Astyanax mexicanus: one gene and its partners. The protein of the gene in region 3 interacts with the protein of the main gene of each other region in a pairwise test. Links are inferred from orthologs where the notes say so. Each region holds a gene or a part of one and is shown on either strand. Other genes may lie near its edges. The genes, in order: eif4a2, spred1 and pih1d2.

Evidence for each region.
Region 1: the proteins of pih1d2 (region 3) and eif4a2 interact in binary tests that used the Homo sapiens proteins (3 or more experiments, as listed by UniProt). The two-hybrid records come from large-scale screens. The link is inferred for Astyanax mexicanus from reciprocal best matches to the Homo sapiens genes PIH1D2 and EIF4A2.
Region 2: the proteins of pih1d2 (region 3) and spred1 interact in binary tests that used the Homo sapiens proteins (3 or more experiments, as listed by UniProt). The link is inferred for Astyanax mexicanus from reciprocal best matches to the Homo sapiens genes PIH1D2 and SPRED1.

The regions. Positions count from the first base shown.
Region 1 is NC_064415.1:55,387,155-55,395,244, reverse strand, and holds the start of eif4a2 (eukaryotic initiation factor 4A-II), read right to left. Parts: upstream 3,438-8,090; 5' UTR 3,359-3,437; coding exon 3,330-3,358; intron 2,123-3,329; coding exon 2,065-2,122; intron 1,365-2,064; coding exon 1,232-1,364; intron 1,138-1,231; coding exon 998-1,137; intron 750-997; coding exon 581-749; intron 527-580; exon of another isoform or gene 450-526; intron 367-449; coding exon 257-366; intron 227-256; exon of another isoform or gene 48-226; intron 1-47. Other genes in the region: dcun1d1 (DCN1-like protein 1), read left to right, coding at 4,737-4,739, 6,356-6,569, 6,753-6,921, 7,078-7,208, 7,309-7,391. UniProt on the Homo sapiens protein: ATP-dependent RNA helicase which is a subunit of the eIF4F complex involved in cap recognition and is required for mRNA binding to ribosome.
Region 2 is NC_064421.1:14,570,354-14,578,303, forward strand, and holds the start of spred1 (sprouty-related, EVH1 domain-containing protein 1), read right to left. Parts: upstream 3,332-7,950; 5' UTR 2,490-3,331; coding exon 2,458-2,489; intron 1-2,457. UniProt on the Homo sapiens protein: Tyrosine kinase substrate that inhibits growth-factor-mediated activation of MAP kinase. Negatively regulates hematopoiesis of bone marrow.
Region 3 is NC_064425.1:3,955,873-3,964,943, forward strand, and holds the start of pih1d2 (PIH1 domain-containing protein 2), read right to left. Parts: upstream 3,489-9,071; 5' UTR 3,101-3,488; coding exon 2,930-3,100; intron 1,377-2,929; coding exon 1,253-1,376; intron 317-1,252; coding exon 65-316; intron 1-64. Other genes in the region: tmprss5 (transmembrane protease serine 5), read right to left, coding at 5,016-5,024, 5,168-5,320, 6,345-6,487, 7,263-7,361, 8,306-8,490.

The DNA of each region.
Region 1 (8,090 bases), on a different chromosome or scaffold from region 3:
TCATTAGGTTTCCTTCCAGTTTTTTAACAGATCTTACTCTTTAGAATAACTGTTGCACTAAACCTTGAAACAGGGGCCACTGGACATTAAGAAAGAGGTCTGACCACATTTCATTTCCGGTGTAGGGCACTTGCTCTTCTTCCATGTTTTTACTCTGCTAGCATTATCACACGAACCAGGAGAACCTAGATCCTGTAATTTCAGCACAGTTCTTTTGTATGGAAGAAAATCATAAGATCTGATTTACTGAACTCACCTGAATGTTTGTGCTTAATTTCTGGAAAATTTCATAAATCTGATCTTTAAATCCACGACTCAGCATTTCATCTGCTTCATCCAGGACAAACATCTTAATCCACTTAGGAGCTACAGAAAGTGAGAAATGTTGCAGTTGGTTAACTGTTAATACTAAAGTGCAATCTGCATTATAAATACTATGATGGAAATAAGCATGATCAGCAAAATAGTTAAAAAGATATCTCCATGACTTGTCAGTCCCGAAAGATGGTAAACCATCATTTCACACTTAATCCAACACAGAGAAACCTGTTGAACAGCTGTTTTAGATTCAGACACTTACAAAGGAACCTCCTGTTCAGCATGTCAAACACACGGCCTGGAGTCCCCACAACAATGTGCGGGGCTTCTGCTTGGAGTTTCTGCATTTCATTGCGGACATTGGTTCCTCCAATGCAGGCGTGACATGAGGCGCCCATGTAGTCACCCAGGGCCAAGATGACCTTCTGAATCTACAAAAACAAGAAATAAAATAAAAGAATGTCACTTAAAAGAAACTGCTTCACACACTTATACTGAAACTGAACTTCTGCTCCCTGCTAAACACCAAACAAGGAAATATTCTGAAACAAAGTCCATATGTCACCATTTACATAGCAGGAAGAAGATTCAAACTGTACCTTTGTTTCAGTTACTGCCCAAATATGCCGCCTTGGTCTGAGACACACTTAAGTTTATCATGACCTCGGGTACAGCATACCTGCTGAGCGAGCTCTCGGGTTGGTGCCAGGACCAGAGCCTGAGTCTCTTTCTGCTCAATCTCCAATTGCTGCAGGATGGAGATGGCAAACGTGGCCGTTTTGCCAGTTCCTGACTGGGCTTGGGCAATGACATCGTAGCCTGAAAAATATAATACAACATTCAAGAAACTGCAACACAAGTGTGCATTAAATACCGGTTGCCATCCCTTCCCCAATCAGCTTCCCAGAATCACCTTTTATGCAAGGAATAATTGCTCTTTGCTGAATAGCTGACGGCTTCTCGAAACCATATGCATAAATCCCACGGAGAAGAGTCTCCTTCAGGTTCATATCATCAAAATTGTCTGTAATCTCATTCCAGTTGCTCTGCAAGGCAGAAGAATCTGAGTTAAACCCAGTTGAATGAGTTCTTACTTGCATAAATGCTACAAAAGCGTGCTTAGAATTCATAGTCACTGTCACTGTCATTTCATGATTGATGGTTCAACAGAAATTCTTGAAAAAGTCTGTTTGTAACTACTTCCATTGAAAATTGTTTTCCCTGCACTATAAAAGGCTTAAGGCTTAAATTAATATTAACAAAAAAATAAATAAAATAAAACCCACAGAAACCATAATAAAAGTGGGCTAATCCGCTGTGAGGTACTATGAGAGATCGGTATCTAGAACATTAATAATGATCATTAAATCAGGCGTCACTAAAGAATTAAGGTCCTTTTGAGTCTAACTTTAGCAAAGCCCCTTCATTAATCACCCTAGATAAACGCTAAATGATACAAATATTATGCAAACAAGAGACAGTAACAGGTTTGGGTGGAGGGGGGGGGGATTGAGAATGACAACTTTATTTTCTATATTTGCACATCTATCTATCTATATACAGAAGTCTTATATTCTAACAGACTCTTTATTCATTAAACAAGATCACATCTGAAATTCACAACAAACAAAAAGCCTTATCTTCAGCATGGAAAAGACTCTTGGAAGATCCCAAAGGTTTTACCATTGAAAGTGTCAATAAAATGCCTATATTCCTTCCCATTAGTTAGCTAAGCTAGCTAGTTACCTCGATGATACCATCAGGCTCCATTCCTTCTGGCCCCCCATGGTCTCGATCTCTGGAGCTAGAAAACACAAAAAATAAGCAATGCAAACTGGCCTCTTATGATACAGGTTTCTGACAAGACTATCTATTAATCCATCCATCCACGTGGTAATACAATTTACAATTATGTCCACAGGTTGTACAAAAAGTTAACTTTCTTCCTCTCACACACATATTTAGAGCAAATATCATCATGATTACATAAAAGCTCTTACTAAATGCGAGTAATAGAGACTCTCCCAGTGTTGTACTGTGTTGAGAGGGGCTGCGTTCCTTGCATGCCACGTGGATGAAGTGTGCGAAGAGAGCCCAGTCTCTCCCATTACAGTGACACATACCACCACTAATAACACCCAGACCAGCTTTAGTGACCCATCTTCTACAGAAGCTTTCCAGCTCGTCATTTTATGGTAAATTTGAGCAGCTATAGCCATGTTTAGGTCTAGTATTATCTATTTATGCACAGAACGAACGAACACAGTTTACAATTTTACTCCAGATTAGATATTACAAGCCTTGCTTAACTAGTCGGCTAGGTTAATATTACTCAAATATTAAGCTTATAAACTTAATATTAAATATTAAGTTAAGCTAAAAGCTGATTTAACCATATTTGGCTATAAATCTGAAAAACAGGTTAGCCTAGCTTTTAGCTAGGTCGCAGTACTGAGATGCAAATTTGGAGCTACATAAAAAAAACGCTAAAATGGATATAAATTAATATTTCCATCACATTAATTAGAACATATAAAACACATGTATTTTATCACCCAAACACCACAAAGTCGTTTTAAACAGGTTTCATGCTGCTGGTAATTAGTGTTAACTACGTTAGCTAAAAGGCTAAGCTAACTGACTTTTAGCTAGGCCGCAGTACTGAGAAGCAAACTTTGAGCTATAAATACGCTAAATTGCATATTAATTCATTTTCTAGCACATTCATTAAAATATATATAAACAATGTGTATTTTAATACCCAATTAACACAAAATAATTAAAAATAAGGTGTTTTAACCCGGTTTCATGCTGTTGGTAGTTAGCGTTAATTAACGTTAGCTAAACTGCTAAGCTAATAAAAATGCTGGTGTGGCGCAGGCCGCGGTGCGGCGCCACAGCCACAGACCGCCCGTTTAATTAAATAATACACACAAAACCGCGCTATTTATGAGAGAAGATCTTATTTACGCCGTTACAAACCGAATTAGCTTGATATTAAGGCGAAATACCTGTTGTAATCGGCAGAACCGCTAGACATGATCCGTTCGCGACTTCGGCATTCACTCGGAAAGGAGGAGCGAGTGATCCTCCGGCGAATTTATCTAACCGGGACTCCTTTTCTTTTCCCACCGTAACATACCGGACATGCATGAAACGCTGCACCTGTGCCTCTTTCTGCTGTGGATTCTACACCTTCTGCACCAGCTACGATAATGAATAATTTTCAGAGACGATTTAACGCCGTTTATTCCCGTTATTTACAACGAAGGTTGGCAATCTATACGCAGGACTATATCGCGAGGCGCATTGATATTGCCGCAATGTGGAGGCGTGGTGCGGTCGCTACGGGGTCTCCAGCAGTTGTGGCTGGCCTGCTGCTGCTGCTGTACTACTGGCCTGGGCCTGGGCCTGGGTCTGTTAGCTTTCTACTGCTGGATATATGAATTATAAAATTATGACTTTTTATAGGATTTGCATGAATTAGATAGTTCCAGGTAAAGTTAGGACATTTACAGTACCAGTCAAAAGTCTGCAAACACCTTCTCAATAAATGTTTTTCTTTAATTCTTCATTTAATTTATTTTCTACATTGTAGATTCATTAATATGAATGTACAATATTATATACCTTTAAATAGCAAAATCAGAGAAACTGATTCAGAAACGGAAGTGGTCTCTTATTTTTTGTGCATGGTAGATAATGATATCTAGCGCCCTCAAGAGGGAAAAAACGTTTAAACGCATAAATAGTTATTAATTCGTTTTCCCATGTATTTCTGTTCATATTGATCTAATTATTTATGTTATATTTTAGTCATTATTATATTCTTTACAGTACAGGTATCGTAAAGAATTGGTGCCAAATTAAAAAGCAGTTACTGCAAATGAAAGTAAAACCACTTTCATTCCTCCATTCAACCGTTTTTTTGAAATTGTATGATGATAAATGTAAAATGCTAATTGAAAAGGCAGAAAGTTGAGGACATAATGTTGTTTCAACGTTAAAATAAGAACAGACATTGCAGACATTACAAAGGTTGATAATTTTTCATCATGGCATACAGTGTTTTTTTCTCATCTATACAATTTTGAGAATCTCGAGTGTGAGCTATGTTTTATTAAAGGATGAACGTACGACGTCGATTTGTTTCTTTTTTTCTTAAATAGAATACCCAGCTGGCATTTCAACGTTGATGTTATGGTAGAAGTTGCCATATAAATGTTAATTCACTTTATAAAATCAACACTGTTCCAAACCCAACGTTGATTTAACGCTGAAATACCAGCTGGATATTTAGTTAAAAAAAGGAAAAAAGAAAAAAAAAACAGAAAGTGGAGGAAAGCCCAGTGCGCAGTAGCGGAAATAGATGACGGGTCGTGAGGGAGAGCGGAAGAGGGTGTCTGGAGATCACAAACATGGTAAATGAGAACAAAAAATAGAAGTTTATTGGTTTTGTCGGCGGACTGCGCTGCGGATAACCTGATTTACACATTTTACGGGGTGTCTCCCGATGGTCTGCTCTTTGGTTCGGGTGGAGGAAGCGCTGTGGAGGAGGATAAACGCTCAGAAAAGCCGCTGGGTTTACTCTGTTCAGCCCGGTGTTCTGTCGTGTTATGCTACCCGTCGATACGTGCTTCCTAAAGGCACTGCGCATGCGCTGACATACATATTTTATTATTATTTTTCGTGCTTTTTATAATGATTATTTTATTCTTTGTTTTCCTGTGTTTTTGATTAATTTAAATGTCATTACATAAAAGTGTAAATGACAATTAATATTAATAGTAAACAAAATTATTATTTGAAAAATATATAAAGCAGATTCGAATAACCTCTCTTTACCATAACTTTACGCTGAGACAGTGCTTTATGCTATTCAAAAACAGCACATAGACCTCTACTAGAAACATGCTAGCTATAATATTGTGTTATTTTGTATGTTTACCTTTTAAATATACACTAGCGAAGCACGGGTTGACAAGGTAGCACAACTCGGCAGAACACCGGGTTACAGAGTTAACCTAGCTAACTAGCTTACCGGCTAAAGCTCCCCATCTCCACACTGCCCGGAGCGCAGGGGTGTACACCTGAGGGGCTTATTTATACACAGCCCACTCAGGTGTGGAGATGGACAGGAAAGCCCGAGGATGAGGATTAGCTAAAATGGACAGGCCTGTTTTGGTTTCGGATTAAAACGGAGGGCTAGCTAATACTACAATCCAGTTTATCCGAGAAAAATACAACTTAAAACATGTAAAACAGCCCTGGTTTGGTAACGGTTTGTGTGGCGCGGTGGATAACACCACTACCTACTTGTGAGCTACCACATCATTTGGGAGACAGGGGTTTATTTCCCAGTCTGGGTGACTGAACGCTGCCCTACACTAACAAGGCTACGTTCACATTACCAAGCTTAAGTGACTTAAATTATTTTTTTGCTCATTGGCTCATATCTGATCCGATTTTTTCATGGCTGTGTGAACGTGCCAAATCAGATTTTTAAAAATCAGATTGAAGTCACATTGGGTACGTTCACATTACCAGGCTAAAGTGAGTCAAATAGATTTTTTTTTTTTGCTCAATGTGGCTTAGATAGAGCTGTGTGATTGTGCCAAATCCATTTTTTTTTTCAAATCAGATTTGAGTTTCTTCCATATGTGGTCCTAAATCACATACAAATCTAATCCATGAACATGCAACATTAATGTGAATGGTCAAATCATGCAGAATTCATGCATCTTTTGCTTTTATGCATGCACTATGTGCTTCTCTCTCGTACCCACACATCTCTTGGTGCAGCTGTGCAGCTATAGCTGAAAAAAAAAAACCCAGCAAAAGCAAACCGCCTGGCCTGAGAGACGACTTGTAGCTTTATAAAGGGAAATGGATGAGTTAGCAGCTCATATGTGGAGCATCTTTTGCTGGAGTGGAGAGTAAACAGGTGGTCTGAAGTATATGTGTAACACAACATATTATCAATGTTTAATATAAATACACCTTAATCAGCTAATATTGTTTGTGCTTTCCCAAACAGAACAAGCTGAAATCCTCACAGAAGGATAAAGTTCGCCAGTTCATGATTTTCACCCAGTCCAATGAGAAAACCGCACTAAACTGTTTGTCTCAGAATGAATGGAAACTAGAGGTCGCCACAGACAACTTCTTCCAGAATCCCGAACTCTATGTACAAAACCTAAAGGGGTCGTTTGACAAGAAAAAGTTAGAACAGCTCTACAATCGGTACAGAGGTAAGTGCAGGTTTCTAAAGGTGTTTCTACACCAGCACTGTTTAGACTCTTCACTTTTTCTCCAGACTCTGGTCCCTTGATTTCCAAATGAAAAGCTAAATTTACTGATGATCAATGATGGTTTATTTTTTTTTAGAAACTTAATGTGTGAAATTAAAAATGTTTTTTTCGTCACTTTCACAGACCCTCATGATGACAATAAGATTGGTATAGATGGCATTCAGCAGTTCTGTGATGACCTGGGTCTCGATCCAGCCAGTATAAGTGTGCTACTGATTGCCTGGAAGTTTCGTGCTGCAACGCAATGCGAGTTTTCAAAGCAGGAATTCATGGATGGAATGACAGAACAAGGGTGATTTTTCTCTTGCTTTCTTTCGTTTTGTTTCCGGGGATTTATAAAGTGGCATTCAGTTGTTTTCACATGTCTTGAATGAATTATTTTTTATCTCGGTACCTACGGTATTTCTACCGTAGCTTTGAATATTGAATATTCCTCTTCTTTCTGTAGATGTGACAGCATAGAGAAGCTTAAAGCACAATTACCCAAAATGGAGCAGGAGTTAAAGGACCAAGGGAAATTTAAAGACTTCTATCAGTTTACCTTCAACTTTGCAAAGAATCCTGGACAGAAAGGATTGGGTAGGAAATCATTCATTTATTCTGTTAGAGGAAATTTTTTAAGTCATTTTTTTTATGTTCATTAAATTTATTCACCTTGTATTTGTTTGCTTTGTTCTAGATTTAGAAATGGCAATCGCCTACTGGAATTTAGTACTGGCTGGACGCTTCAAATTCCTAGACCTGTGGAACACATTTTTAGTGGTGAGTAAAAATACAATTTGATGCTGCTATTGGAGTAAATGGGTGTCTTGAGTTTTGATTTCATCTCATAAAATAGCAGCAGAATTATTTTCTCCTTAATCTGTTTGGGTTGAGTTGCTTTTATATAGGATTGTTGCAGGTTAATAAATAAGAGCACAGTGAATTTTAAGTGAAAGCATTTGTATGTGTAATTGTTTGTGTGACTGGACATGTTTTTATTTCTCTTTAAATGTCATATGTTTAATTTTAGCAAGGGAAGCAAGAAACCAGGAACTCACTTAGAACTATATTACGATTATGGATGCCTACCCTCTAGTCGAAAGTTCACTGTAGAAGAAAATGGTACAGAAATCCACAAAATAAACTGTATGAAATATTCCCCATCATTAATATTAAATACAAAAAGGACTTCCTTAATAGACAAGATCGGACAATCATGACTAGGAGCCGAATTGGACATGCTCTTGGACTGCTCTTACCCACCACCACCTCCTAGTTGGTGAACAGACTCGAGCGTGCCAATTCTGTGATACTCCTATTATACATCTATTAAACACATCTTAGTTGACTGCTTTCACTTTTAACCACCAGAAATAACTTTTATAGAGTTACAAAAAAAAAACAGAAAGAACAATTTGAAAAGATTCCACCAGCTAAAATACTTAATTGTCTGGATTGGAATTCCTTCATATGAAGAAA
Region 2 (7,950 bases), on a different chromosome or scaffold from region 3:
AGCTAATAAGCCCTGCTCTCTGCTAAAATTTACACTTTTTACGGTAGATATAATTTCCGCAAAATGCTTATAAGTCACAAACTGTGATCTACAAACGATTTTGCCTTCATTGGCCTAAATCGATGCTTATCCTACATACTAACTGGTACTGTTGGATGATTTTGAGCAGGAGTGATCATGTGATCTCTGCTTGTTGCAATGAAAGGTACATGATTACAAAAACATACTGTAGATTTAATCAGCGTATCACTACCAGCATCTAATCTAGCATCACAGGAATGAAGGTAAAAATGTGGAAGACTGTCAGCAAGTGATGATGCATGTATACTTTCTGGAACAATGCGAAATCAACACTGCGTCACAGGTGAGGCGACACGCTGTTAGAAATGGAAAACACACAAACAGACATGTATATAATCCTTTGTTTCTGGGCGGCTCAAATATCACCCACACTGTTAAGCGGGGATGTTTATTGTTTAACTGAAAGAGGAGGGAAAATTTGCTAAAGGATGGTGTCGTCTTGCTTCTTGGGCATGTGCTGTCTCTTCTTTCTTCTCCACCCTCCTCCGCCTCACCACACCAGCAGCATTTGCTGATCCTAAGCATTGCGCAAAAGGACTGTCAACAAGACTGTCTATACCATGAATGAGCATTGTGATGAATAATTAAAATAAAAATAAATAAATAAATAGCTGTGGAATGTGTAGATATCTGTGCTATATTATTGGAGATTTCCCTTCAGTGTAAAAAAGGGACAAATGAAACGTGAATGAATGGCATCATTTGTGGAAGCACATGACTAGTTCAAGGACACAGAGTTCCTAGCTACATGACATGAATGGATCTGATACAGGAGAGACATGGCAAGAGAACATGGGCGTATTAGATACTGACAGAGAGAGAGCCTGGGAAACCGTGAATGTGAATGTGCACGTCGTCGTTTACTGCTGCTGACAAAAATGGCCTAAAATAAGATGTACAGATATAGCTAAGAGTCAAACAGATGAATATTTGTCGTTGCTGGGTCTGTGATCTGCTGTGTGACCCCTGTGCTCAGTGTGGAGACACACTGTACAGTGCAGCTCAGTGTGAATGAGAAGCCAGGTACTTTATGAATGGAGGCGGTCACGTGGCCGAAGCTTTTCTCAGTGACTGTCAACAAGCGCACGCAAGCGATCAGCCCATTTAAAAAAAACACGGGCACGGAGGGCGAGAAAAGCACCAAAATCCGCACGAAAACAGCCTTACTCGCACTGTTAATCGAATATATTCCTTTATACTCTCAATTGGGCCTAATCTGAGCGACAAACACTGCCATTTTGGCGTTTTTATGAATGAGGATTGTGATATGCAAATGAGAGTGATTGAGAAAAATATGGCGTCCGCACAGTTTCTTTCAGCCTGACATTGCGGTAATAAAACCCGCAAACGAAACCAAATGCCACGTATTACATGTTCTTTAATACTTAAAAAAATCATATAACTGTTAAATCGAAATAAGGCTCTCAGCTCTCGCTCCAGAGATCGTGGATATGTTTTTATAAGGCGAAACCGCGTTTCATTGTGGGCAAAAAACACAAAACCGTGGAGTAGAAAAGACGTGTCTATTAACTAACTAGCTCAGTTTGGGAGCTTTATTCGTTTGAAACGGGTGTATTTTGTAACGCTTGTATCAGATACAACGTTAATAAACTTGTTACTTACGCTAGCCATCCACTTAAATCTAATTTACAACGTAGCGATAGTTATTTCTACGAATGCTTCGAGAGAACTACAGAAATTTTACTGTTAGCTGGTTAAATCGTGTATTTTACTAACTAGCTATCGAATAATGTAAATAAACTACTGTTAAATAATATAGCTAGTTAGCTATCCTAACTAGAAACGACCCAGCATACTCGCTAAATAGATAGCCTAGATGGTCAACTAACGCTAGGTTAGACAGCGTTAAATATCTGAATGGGCCTTTTTAATAAGGCAAATTTAATTCAGAAAACCATAGATAGATAGCTAAAAAGAAAACAAAAACACATTGTTAGCTAGAGGTATTTAGCTAGATAGCTAACTAGATAATATACACACACAAGTTTAAACAGCTAACTAACTAGTTAGGTTAGCTAGTTAGCTAGCTACGTTAGCTTAGCTATTAACCCAACTATACATTCAATAACCATGACAACAACTAAATCCAAGCTAACGCTAACTAGCCAAATAAAACTGGCTCAGAAACAAACAAAAAAAAATAACATTACGGCTCTGCTGGAAATATATTTTAAGTTAGCAAGCTAACTAACTTAACTACTAAAACCTTCGCTTTACAAACAAACCCGTGTAAGTTAGTTATTTTCTGATCTCTGTCATGCATTAAGACCACAAGAAACACACACAGAAACACACAGACATCCTCGGGGTCCAGCAGCTCAGAGGAACTGTGAACTGAGAGATATTGGTACTCACTCGTTGTTTGGATTTGCCGATTCTTCGCTCATTTTTTTCTCACGGGGATCCAAATCCTGGAAACAGCATCGACGACGCAGTCAAGGCTGGGAAACGATCCGCAAATATCACCATTTTCTTTTCGTTCGCATTAAAAGAAAGTGCCAGTTTTTTTTTGTTTTATTATTAATCACAAAGCAACTGTGTAGCGCTGGGGCGCTGCATGCTTCCAGTTTTCTCCCACAAGGCGAGTTCAGAATAAGAACGGCGACCGCAGCCACTGATCTCTATCTTCCCAATGAGTAAAATCCATTTGGAAACGAGTGGCTGTCCTCTTCATCCTCGATCTGCGAACACAGGCAAATCCCAGACAGAATTGCAGTCCTGATCTTCAGATTGCAAGCAAAACAAAGCGAGAAATAGATAGGTAGCTACTAGCTAAATCTGCCACGGTCCGTGAGCCGGCTAGCTGGAGATCGAGCTACGCTACGTTATACTATATAACTCCCCTCTCTCTCTTTCTCTCTCTCCCCACGGCAACTTGAAGTTTCAGCCAACACTAGAAAACACAAAACAGCGCTGCTCCTGTTTATAACTCTCTAGCTGGCTCGAGCGCAGGCACTCAAAAACAACGAACGAAACGATAAATATCTGTCCTTAATTGAGTATCCAACGAATTCGCGTTAAAGAAATAGCGAGATTAACAGAGTCTCCTCCTCGGGAAGTTCAGAAGATCTGTGCTGCTACACGAACTCCATTTTCAACTCAGGCAATGCACACCTCGGAAAACTGGGCGGAAGCGTTTGGCCTGACTTCTCCGCTGAAATCCTTCCGCGACGAAACCCGAATAAAACACCATTAACAAAACAGCAAACTCATTTTTAGACCGAATCAACTAGCGTGATTTGTTGTTTAACGAACACAAACGTTGAATATTTCCCACATGCCCCCACCCTCATAATAGCTTGATTCAGGGACGGGAAGTGAGGATTTCATATAGTCCCCATACCAGTTCCCAAAAGAAGTTTGGCCATGCAGGCAGCAGAGGAGCCCAAGCTGAAAGCGAGGAGAAGGAGAGCGAGAGAAGCTACACACGCTGGTGATGGACTCTCTGCTTTACATTATGCTTACAAGCAAGTAAGCAAACAAACAAACAAAAAGGAAGACATAAAGACAAATGCCGCCACTTTCATTTAGCGTGATATTTAGTTTTAGTTACATTTGTTTAAATACTTAAAAAGTATCCCAACTGGCTCTACATCGAATACATACAGCAAGCACCGTTTATGTGTAGAAGACATTCTTATGGTGTTAATATACACCAGAAACTACAGTCTATGTGATTGTGCTATATATATATATATATATATGTGTGTGTGTGTGTGTGTGTTTGAGTAAAATGAACATTTTTGACTTATTCCGTAAACTATGGACAACATTTCTCCCAGATTACAAATAAAAATATTGTCATTTAGAGCATTTATTTGCAGAAAATGAGAAATGGCTAAAATTGCAAAAAAAAAAAAAGATACAGAGCTTTCAGACCTAAAAAAATTGCAAAGAAAAAAATTCATATTTTTAAAGTTTTAAGAGTTCAGAAATCAATATTTGGTGGAATAATCCTGGTTTTTGATTACAGTTTTCACGCATCTTGACCACCAGTCTTACACACTGCTTTTTGATAACTTTATGCCACTACTGGTGCAAAAATTCAAGCAGTTCATCTTGGTTTGTTGGCTTGTGATCATCCATCTTTCTCTTGATTATATTCCAGAGGTTTTTAATTTGGTAAAATCAAAGAATCTCATCGTTTTAAGTGGTCTATTTTTTTTCAAGTTAGTTAGCTAACCTAGTTCAGTGCACTAGCTTTATAGAGACAAGAGCCATTGACTGTGATTTATGGCTTCTCTCAAAGTTCACACTTTTTGTTGTGTGAGCTCATCTGCAAGTGTGTGTTTTCCAAGTGTGCTGCTCAGTTTCTCAAAACTACAGGCCACATAAACACAGAGCTTTCTGAATTACACTGAATTAAAGCAGTGCTGGGCTAAGCTGAACTTATGCTGCCTTCAAGTCATGTCCGAAATATCTTATTTACGAGATGAGTGCACATAAATGCCACCACACACTTGTAATTACCAATGGGAAACTTGGATTTCTTGATGAGCCCTGACTTTCCAAGTTTTTGGGCGTGTCAATAAAAAAAGCTGATTGCTGTGTTTTTCATTGATTGTGTATTATTTACTAACACTGTAATCTATTTTAATGGTTTACTCTCGTTCACATGTGAAAAAAAAACGAATAATTAATTACATGCTACTGACACTTTTTTCCCATGCTGTTTCCAAACAAAACTTTTGATAAAATCTGAAATGTCACACTAAATATTTGACACTGAAAAACAACACAAACTGCAAGTAATTATTTTGTTTAATCATAATATACAGTACCAAACAAAAGTTTGGAAACACCTTCTTATCCAATATTTTTATTTTTATTTTATTTTTTTCCTACATAAAATTAATTCAGTAAATTCATACTGAAGTCATCCAAACTAAGTAGGAACACATAAGGAATCATGTCCTGATGAGAGCCAGTTTCATCATAATGTTTGATGGTATTTATGATTGCACTTAAGGATACTTTCAAAGTAAAAAAAAAATTGAAGTTGAGTAGTTAGCTCTTGCCATAATATGGATTAGAACATTACTCAAATAGGGGTAATTTAGTATGCCAACTCTACCTCTTCACAACATAACTGATGGTGTCAAACATATTTAATAGGGCAAGAAATTATTGTAGTTGGCTTTTGACAAGTTAACTGAAAGTCACTCCAGATGACTACCTCATGAAGTTGACTGACAATGAGAAGATGTGCAAAGCTGTCATCAAAAAAAATCTAAAACATTATTAAAAAATCCATGTTTTTCTTAATATTTTGAATGAGTATTAATCTACAATGCAGAAAATTTTAATTAAAATAATGAAAGAAACACTGAATTTAAGGTGTGTCCAAACTTTTGACTGGTATTGTATTCTTTGAAAGAAACACCGATATACCATCAGTTGTTCCATGACAGTTAAAAGTTCTCAAAAGAAGCAACGAGCATTAATCAGTGAAACAAAAGTGAGCTAGTTTCATTATGTAGTTGTATGTAAAGCTGCATATGAGTGAGATTGGACCCTTATTCTGTTTTATATATGTTAAAAAAATTATGCCATAACTTTTTTACACGCACCAGTAAAATGTAGAGTCCACTGTAAAATAAAGACAGTATTTATTTGATTAGGTTATAGGATTATCTGGATTAGGCCTAAGTGCCCTCTGCTGATAATCCTCTAAAGGGTAATAGAACAGGTTTAAACACTGTAGTTAAAAAACAAATTCATATGAGCTAAAACTGGCTGTGTGTCCAGATTTTCAAATGTACATGCCACACTAAAGGCAGACTTTTCTAACACTGAATTTAAGCAGAACTGAAATAAGCTTACATACCATAGGTACATATGTTATTTTTGGAAATATTGAGGAAGAGTGTCCACAAAAGGATAAGATAAATTAATATGATATAGAACAGTTCGGAAACCAAACACATATGGGCTACAGGAAATTCGACTGTTGGAAATCACATCTATCCTGTCCTCTAAAAGTCGGCAAGTAGTGCTGTGTACTGTCAAGAACGTGGCGATATGACATGATACACCGTTTATAATTCAGTATGTCAGTATCATAGACTGTATATAAAGATGGACGTCGTGTCGCGGTTCCCATTCATTCAATGAAAATGAAGCCAAAATCTTCCGCCATTTTGGCGATTCAGAGACCAGAGTCTGCGCAGTAGAGACCAAAGGAGGGAGAAAGGCTGTGGAGAGACCGCCTACTCATTTGAATAACCCCGCCCCTGAGGGCTGCCTCGCGGTCACAGACTGCAGAGCGGGGCGGAGCGGAGCTGACGGTCTGTTATTGGTCCCGCCCATAAGCAGCCCTTTTACCATAACCACACCTTTTTTGAATAGAGCCGAATAAAGTTTTAAAAACCGAATTCTGTGGGGATATAAAAATTTGACAATATAAGCAGAGGTTACATTAGCTGTTGCATTTAAATAATGGAGGTAGAATTACAGTATATTAGAAAAAAACGTGATTGAAAGTTGTCTGTTTTGCCATTGAAACCTATGGGGATGGGTGGAGTTACACAGCTTTCTGCAGCCGAACAGCAGGGGGCGCCCGACCTGTGGTGGCTTCACTTTTAAGAGACGATGCTCTGTCCAGCTATACACAGTCTATGGTCAGTATATAAACAGTAGGCAATATAGGCAATATATTGCAATTGTTTAAATCAAAATGTTGGAAAACCACTGTTTCTTTTTTACATACAGTATTAATTGAAAATACAGTATACAAACATTTAAAACAAAATATATCCATATTTTTGTTACACCCTAACAGGCAGCCACAAATAATATGATTTCTTTGGTTGTATTTGTGTCTTGGAGAAGCTTGAGATACGACTTAGCTTTGTTGTCATATATGAGAATTTTCTTCGTGTTTCTTTGGATTAGATAGAGCAAAGTTAAAGTTGCAACATTTGTATATGGAAGGCCAAACCAATTGATTCTCAAAGACCTACACCAACAACAGAGTCTATTGACATTTTGTCATTGATCCTAGTCTGGGTCATTAATACTAGTCCTCAAATCTGTGTAGTCCAAGACTGTGCTTTATCTCTGTCCTAAAAGCTGACCCCAAAATGTGATACTAGCACAGAGGTCAGATAAAGGTTTCAGCTTATTTACTTTGTTACTTAAAGAAGAACATTTCAATATGTATTTCTATTAGAGCTTAAGTGTGTAAACAGCAACTACCTGAAAATATCGAGCATCTATTTTCAGAATACAGTTTCCCATCATGAGCTACAAATCTCAAATAAAGTAGGCCTTGTCTCCCCTTAACAGAAAGACAATGAGCATCTTTGAAATTTCTAAACAGCATGCTTCTATCCTTTTGAGTATTTAGAGTTCAGGAAGTCAGGCTGCTTTCTCATCTCACAAATATGGATGTTCATGCATTTCCTGTGTTGATCACACAGCAAAATATACCAAACAGAAGGTCAACAGGATGTTTAGCTCGAAGGAGTCTCCCAGATATCCAGCAGAGGTGCTGCTGTTGGGAGAATTTTGGTTCTTAAATGCTAGACCATTATGGTCTTTAGGTTTTTGTACATCCTATACTGTCTACTTTCATAGCATTAAAACTGGAGCACCTTTTGGGATTAAATTTTGCCTTTGCTATGTGCTTTATTAATGAATACACATTAAATTATATAGCATTATTTATCTTTGGTAACATGACAAAGGGGAAAGTGTATTCTGCCCCACTAGCTTAGGCATTAAATATCTGACCAAAAAGAAAACAACTTAAAGAACTGTTTATTGATTTTAGGTAGGTTTAATGACATTTAAAAAGTCCATATGAAATAATGAAAATCATTTTAAAAACATATTGGCAAATTATTT
Region 3 (9,071 bases):
ATTTGCTTTAGAATAATACTTTTAATAAAAAAATCCTTCATTAATCTGTATGCTGTTCACCTACCAGGTTCTGTTAGTGGTTTGGAGGGGCTGGATTTGTCTTGTTGTTGTTGTGGTGTAAGCCGGCGTATCATATTCTGCACGGTGCCCTTTAGTTTGGTTTTAGTGATCATGACCTGCTGAGACAGACTGAGTTTGTGCTGCTGCTGTATGAAGCTCAAAGCCAGTAGATGGATCTGCTCCTTCTCCTGTGTGTTTTCCTCAGCTCTCTGAAGAACCTCAGGATTAAATGCCACTTCCACTATGGAATAATTTTCTGTAAAATAAGGACAAAGGAAAATAAAGTACAGGAATGTATTTGTTGATTTGAAAAACAGGATAAACTGTGTAACAGGTGCTTGAGAAGAAGAATGTGCTGATACTTTACTACAGTATTGGTCCATACATAGCCACAAACTACAGTAGTTTTTACTATAAACTTTATGGTTTAACTTAGGCTAAGTTCACATTACCAGACTGAGGTGACTCAAATCTGATGTTTTCATGGCTGTGTAAACATGCCAAATACGATTTTTTTAAACCAGATCTGAGTCACTTTCATATGCGGTCCTAAATTGGATATGTATCCGATCAATGGACATGCAACATGAATGTGAACGGTCAAGTCAAAATTCATGCGTCTTTTTGCTTTTACTCATTAGCATTAGCATTAGCGCTACGTGCTTCTCTTTCATACCTACACCCACATCTCTTGGTGCAGCTTAGCAGCTATAGCTGCAAAAAAACAGCAAAAGCAAACCGCCTGTCCTTTTTTCACCTCCTGGACCTGAGCATGAACTTCAGAGCAGCTGTTTACTCTCCACTCCAGCAAAAGATGCTCCACATATGAGCTGCTAACTCATCCATTTCCCTTTATAAAGCTACGAGTCTCTCCTCTCTCTAATATGAGTTTTTTTAATAGTTGTTGGTGAAAAAGGAGGCGTTTATACAGGTATCAATGTGCAGCATGTGAGACGTTTCAGGAACAGATTCAGATTCACTCACATTACACACAGATACAGGTCACTTACATTTAAAGTGAATGTGAACCATCAAGATAGACAAATCTGATCTGAGCAAAATCGGATCAAATTTGAGCAATGTGGCTTAAGTAATGTGAATGTAGCCTAATTATTTTCAACTAAGCTTGAAAGACTGAAGAAAGAATCTGATTACATAATCTTTATTAAAAATATGACAGGAGATTATTTACCATTCTTTTCCTTAATAGTTTCCAGTTTTCCACCACACACAGGAATGGGCTGAGTAGGAGAGGTGGGTGCAGGCACTCGTTTCCATCCACACAAATTTACATACAGTATTCCCTTTTCTGGCCTCTGGAAAAGATCACACACACACAAACACTTTAAATCCTTGAATTCTATGCTTATTAATGATTTTGAGATATTTCCTACATTATATGTTTTATTCTGTAAGCCACAAACCTGCATAATACTATATGTAAAATAATATATGTAAATATAGGAGTAAAGACGTGAAGTTCTAGCTAGAACACATAGTACACACACCTCTTCCCATTCAATGTGTTTTCTTTCTTTTTAGGATTTTTTTTACATTGTAAATGTAACATTGAAGACTGCATTATTATTATTTAGTAAGCAAAAAGTGTTTAACAATTCAGAATATGTTTTATACTTTAGATTTTTCTAAGTAGACATATTTAGCTTTTAATCTAAAAGTTTTGACACTAGCAGTCAAAAGTCAAAAGTTTTGACAAACCTTCTCCTTCAGTGTTATTCTTAATTTCTTCATATAATTTATTTCCTACATTGTAAATTAATATTAAAATACATGAAAACAATTAAGGGACGCATATGGGGCAAAATGAATATGAACCTATTTATTTATTTATTTATACAGCAAGTTAGCCACTCATTTTTTGTTATAAGGAGAGTGTTTGTGCCTGGGGAATTCTAAATGATAAAAAGGGAATAATAGGAACATCTGGTTTTGCACATACTGCATGGGATAAGATAAAATCATAATTTATTCAATTATGATTCGTCATTATGATTGTCTTACAAGTTGGGTTAAACACTAGTGTCTTTAGCTAACTGTTTCTGGAAATGTTTCAAAATAGTGTAAAATAATCTGAATTAGGTGCATACCATATCATATAATATCGCCAACATTTTTATTGAATATTGTGAATGATATTATACCCTGAAATATTGTGCCATATCACCCACCCCTAATTAGCACTTTTTTAGCAAAAGAAAAAATCACACTGTTCTAATTTCCCATTATATATCTACTAGAGACAGATTATATCTGTCCAGTATCATTTATTTTACTTTAATCCTGGATATATGGAGATATCTGGAGTGCATTATTGACTGTTACAAATCTGAAAAATTCTAGTATTTTTTAATATCTCAGTTAGGGGTGTACCATATAATTTAATTTTCATTTTGTTGCAGTAGTGTATTATTGAAATATTGTTTTTTTTTTTTAATTTTGTGTTTTGTCATATTGCCAAGAGTATCGTTATCGTGAAAATATCATAAATTTTGTGATTTTATTTTAGAGCTATATCGCCCACCCCCACTTTAATTCTTCTTAATTCTTATTTTATTTGTTTTATTTACATATTTTATTGATGTTTTATTCTTATTTTATTTTTATTCCCATTTTTGTTCTAATTTCTAAAGCACTTAAAATTATTCTTGTGTAAGAAAGGTGCTATACAAATAAACTTGCCTTGCCTTTAGTATGAGTTCATGCTGTATTACATTACAAACATCTGAAAACTAAGCTTTCAAACTATAAAGTAATCCAGACATGTACTGTAATGACTTTTTTTCTGGCATTTTCGACAGTTTTATAGTTATATTAACAGGTAAATTAAGTTAGTTATTATGTACTATACCTGTATAGAAGTGCTGATGCAGCAGTGCGGCTGTGGAGGGGATAAACAGTCCGCTCCCTCTCGTAGATGCCGCTGAATAAACGTCCTGTAGGCTTCAGGATTATTCTGAGACATGTCGTCTAAAATAGACCAGAACTGGCTGACCTGCTGAAGAACAGCATTCTGCTCCATGGTTAACAGCTTTATTAGAAGGGAGCTTAAACCTTCCTATAGATAAATAACTAAAAACAGCTTTTAGACACGATAATGCAGGAATACGTTACCTATCAAGACTCTACATTAAATTAGCGAACCTGAACTAGTCTCAAATACAGTTATTTATATGCTGTAAGCCTAATAATAACAGAAAAACAACAAAATAAAAGTTACTATCCAGCGTTAACTCGCTACAGCTGCCTGACCTGCAGTTAGTGTTACTTGTTGCCAATAGCAACGAGTCCACTGTAACCACTGTACCACATTGCCCACTAGAGGGCGCTGAATCCTCATTTATACATACTTACATTTCTAAGCTGCACTCTTTATATAAAGATCTGGGGGGGGAAATAAGAGATCACTTAAAAATGATGAGTTTCTTTGATTTTAACAAATAAAAAAAAAACATTTGGAATATAATCAAAAGGAAGATGGATGATCACATGCTTGAATAAAAAAAAAAAAAACTAAAAATCCATGTAAAAACTGATTATAGTAGGCCTTTATCTTACATAAAATGGATGAAAAAAACATTGAAATATCGCACATTTTACTAGCTGAATAACATTTCTGCACATTTTTGCCTTATATTTGTCTGAATTAAGATAGAAAGTATTAAATTATCATTTCTCTGTGTGAATTTACAGTTATAGTGCAGCTAAAACACCAGTAAGAGTAGGACCCACGCAGCCAGATATCTAATTTAAAGTAAATTCAATTTTTTAGATTAAATTATTCAAAATTATTCAAATTCTTAATGCTTTTCCAAAACTGTATGGATGTTTTTATTTTTCCAAAATTTATCCAGGACTGGAAATTGCTATGTTCAAATTCCATTACTTTTTTCAGGTTTTTCATGGCGGTACGAGCCCCGCATGTTTCCTAAAAAAACAGAATACTGTATAATGCAATATTATTAACTCAAATCTCTAATAATGCTAACTGGTAACAATGGTAACAGTGATAATTTGAGATACAAACACTTACTCAACCTTATCCCCGTAAGTGGTTGTTGTGGTGCAGTGGATAACACCACTGCCTTCCAGGTCTGGGTGACTATGCTGTGATACACCAATAAGAGTCCATGGGCAAGACTCCAAACACTACAAGTTACTCTGGATAAGAGTGTTAGATAAATGCCATAAATGTAAATATAAGTGTCAGTAATGTACAATACAGGCCAAAAGTTTGGACACACCTTTTTTTTTTCAATGCGTTTTCTTTATTTTCATGATTATTAACATTGTAGATTCTCACTGAAGCATCAAAACTATGAATGAACACATGTGGAGTTGAAATAACTAAAAACATGTTTTATATTCTAGCTTCTTTAAAATAGCCCCCGTTTGCTATGATTACTGCTTTGCACACTTTTGGCATCATTCTCTCAATGAGCTTCAAGAGGTGGCCACCTGAAATGAAAAGTTTTCAAACAGTCTAGAAGGAACGAGTTTCCAGAAGTGTTTATTTGATCTTGTTGCTCCTTCGTCTTCTTCACTCTGTGCTCCAGCTCACCCCAAACCATCTGGATTGGGTTCAGGTCCGGTGACTGTGGAGGTTCAGCTCATTTTTTGTTAAGTAGATAAAACTCCACATGTGTTCATTCATAGTTTTGATGCTTCAGTGAGAATCTACAGTGTAAACAGTCATGAAAATAAAGAAAACGCATTGAATAAGAGAAGGTGTGTCCAAACCTTTGGCCTGTACTGTATAAGAAAAGCAATTGAACAGGTTTTAAGGTACACAACACAAAGTTTATTACAAACATCTAAATGGAATAGCAAACTGTATATTTTACAATAAAAAAATAAAGCTTGAGGGTGTCTGTAATATCCAGCAAAAGGAGGAATTCCGGAGGTTATGGTGTTGGACTGCAATTTCACTCCATCCTTCAGTAGCTCTGCGTGGAGGGAAAATTATTACACATTCATATCTCATGATTCATATCTCAGAGTTTCAGGAATAAATTCACAGTGATTCACACTGGCTGCACAGCTGCTTAGTCATGTAGAGTACATCACTCAGAACATGACTGTGACCTACCTCTATCATCTCATAAATCCAGCCTAAAAACTCAGCCACTTTGGTGTAAACTCCTGGGTGATTGGGCTCCGCACAGCCTGTTCCCCAGCTAACCACTCCAACCAGTCTCCATACGTTATCATCCTGACAAACCAGTGGGCCTCCACTGTCTCCCTGTGTGAGAAGAAAGACCATCATTCTATTAGCTGCTGTTATTCAAGCATGCACTTCTAAAATCCACTTTTTCTTGTTATTTGTACAATTCTATAGATCTCTCTAAGTTGTATATCGATGCTGCATATGAAACTATTTCTCAACCTCCATTGTCTGCAGAGGTTAGTAAAAGAAAATCCTCAGAAATACAAGTTGATTAGAGAGAAGTAAAGTGTCCACGTCAACCAGTGACTTCATAGCCTCGCCCACCTTGGCTCAGGAACGCCCACAGGTAGAGCATACAGCTTCTGTTTACAGCAGCTAGTTAGCGTTATCTATCTTGTGCAGGTTTAAATCGGATCTCCGGTGGATTCCATGTTTTATTGAGACCTTAAATATACACTAGGGGAGCACAGTTTGACAAGATAGCACAACACGACAGAACACCGGTCAAAACGGGGACTGTTCGCATCAAATTTTATGATATAGAGCACATATAGACTCTGGGGCTTCGATGTGGTGAAACTGCACCAGCACTGAATCACCAAGTCTGAGGTAAGAGTTTAGTAGCGATAATGTTTCTTGGCCGCTGGTCCGCCCAAGTCTGTTGCTAAGTGTTAGCTTTATCTAGGAGTTAAGAGTTAACTTTATCTAGTACTCTATCTAGTGCTATATCTTTATAACTAAGGATGTATATTTGAAAACACTTTATTCTTTGAGTTTTAGAGCTGTAAAATTGACTGTGGGGGTTGGCAGCAGGTACGCGTTTTCTGCTGCAGTGCTGTTAGCCAATCAGAGGCGATATATTTGCATGTATGAATATTTATGAGCAAAAGCCAAAACCTGTCTTTCTTCAGAGACCACTAATCCAGTGAACTAAAGCAGGGCTAAACAGAAACGCCTGAGCACTTTTTTCACAAAAAAACTACTGACATGCCATTCATTTATACTAGACACAACTAGACTGTTTTAAATGAATTTAAAAAGGATAAAATGAGACCTTTAAAGATCTCTTTATAATCTATTGAGTTTTTTAGGAGCTTACCTGGCAGGCATCCACTTTGCCTTCTGTATAACCTGCACAGAGCATACGTGACGTGATCTCTCCATTGTACATGCAGGAGCTGTTGCATTTCTTTGTGCTTATTAAAGGCACTGGAGCCTCTTTTAATGTGTCAGGAATGTGAACTGTGCAGAGAAAAAAATATTGTTGTTATTGGGCCATTCCACTGAATGGGTGCAATTTGCTTATTGTAACTCTTACAAACTAAACTCAATTTTTTAAAACCTTTTTTACACTTTTCAAAAATCTAATAACACATGTATTTAACTATTTAAAACATGTTCTGGTCAAACTCAGGCAGCTTTACTAATTTTTACATTTTTTTAAGGTTTCTAATCTGAATATTAGAATTACATTTTACTTAGTCCTGTTACTAAAACTCATGTGATATTTAAAAAGCATGTTTAAAAGCAAGTCCACTAATTCCTTTGATTATCTCTTAATAAAGTCTACATTTTAAACAAATGGTTGACTGCATGTTTAAATAATTGATATTCATGACAAAAAATACTATATATGCATGCACATTGTATTTTCTAAAAGATGCAAAGCTATTTTCATTTTTTCAAGAAGACCAAAACCTGAACTTAATCAAATTTATCATCTTGCAATTTATTAAACAATAAATAATGATGAACCAAACAGAACTGTGGTTTATACAAACTAATATTTACATGAATAAATCGATAAACCAGAGGACAATACTAACTCCTATCAGGACTGATAAAATCATAATAAACGCTATTTTAAAGTTATTTTGTGTGCACATTTATATATGTAACATACATGGAACATGCCTAATAACACAAATGTAATATTGAAACTTATATCTATATTAGTGGATGCAGATTTGCTACCGGTTGTTTCTATATATGTTTTATAAAGAAATGATTTCTTTACCATCGTCAGGTTGTGTATAACCCCAGCCTGAAATCCAGCACTGCGTTCCTCCAGGAAGGTCATGGTCGTACTGTGGTAGACATGCTGGCCTAATAGTGTCTGAGGTTGAAAGAAAAACAAAATAAACCATAGTGAGAATATTAATATGTATGATTACAAGGATTACTACTCACATATTAGTGCATATTTACACTAATATTTACAATATATTTTAAATGAAATGAAGCCAAGGTCTATAGACAATCACCTTTAAATTCTAATATATATTTTTTAAATTAAATACTATTATTATCTAATAATATAATTATAAAAAAATAATAATAATATTTTAGGTACAAGGGGTAATTTTTAATACTGTGATAAAGATCTGAAATCCATTGACTCTTCTTTAAATCTTTAAATCCCTTAATTATGCCCTCTTTCTCTTAGTACACTTTTTGTACTAAATATTGAGTGTACCAAATGCAAATTCAACACTTCCAATTTACAGCATTTCCTTAATATATTATTATTATTGTGAAGTTACAGAAAGCTGGATCAACCCATGTGAAAAGGAAGTGTACTTAGGAGCACTAAAAGTATGCTCAAATTAGATAAAGAATACTAAAAGTGCATTTTTAATTTAATATACTTAATTAAAATACACATTAAATATACTTTCTCTGTATTTCCATAAAATGTATTTTAAAGGAATATGCTTTGAATTATATGTTGTGTTAACAGAAAATATATGTCTTGGCATTAAATGCTGCTTACAGTGCAGTTTAGTGTATTTTTTTCCAGTAGTATCAATACGTAAGGTGGTACATTTGCAATATACTTCAAGTGTATTAAAAATAAGGTTTAAAAAACACATACTTAAAACTAAAAAGGAAGTCAATATTAATGTGCATAGATTTAGAATGGGGTGTAATAAAAGCTTATAAAAGTGTAATGCCTGGGTGTCCTAATATATTTGTCCATTTAGTGGAAGAAAAGTGAAAAATAATTACAATTATAATGAACAAAACACAAAATTGATGGTACATATGTTTAGTTCTCACCTGAAAAATTCAACGGTGTTCTCAACTTCATCAGCGCAATATCATTATCATGACTTCTATGATTATAATTCTTATTGTAGATGATTTTCTCCACAGCATATCCTGTATACTGAGCCAGTTTGGCTGTATTTCTTGTAACAATCCCAGCATAGACCACCCAGCTGGAAACCTGAGGTAACCTGTAGCTGAAATTACAAAAATAAAGCATGGTAAGTTTATCTGATTGAACACAAGTGAAATTAGGAAAGTTTTAGGAACTGAAAGATCTCCCTGGTGAAAAAAAGATATATACTTAATTGTACTTAAAACATATTGAGAAATGTCTAAGTATGCTGTAAATATAATAACAGATTTATGTACTTACTTAAAATATATTAAAAGTACATTAACATTATGCTTTCATCAAATGTTGTAAAGTTATCTTTGATCATACTTTTTAAAAACTACAATATAGTGTATTTAAAATAAATAGGTTAATACAAAGTACACTTTTAGTTTAATGTAATTCTATATGCTTCTAAAATATTATTTACAAATATATGTTTGTACATTTTTAGCAAAGTGTGTTAAAAACAACTGTTACAGTAGTTTACTTAAAGTGCAATGTATCATGTAACTTTATAGAAAATAATAAAATTACCACATTGGTAACTGTTTTAAATATATATTTAGGTATTACATTTATATAACGGTTAACATGTATTTTAATGCTCTGTAATTATAATTAGGAAAATATACATATAAGTAAATTATAGGTTACAGTGTT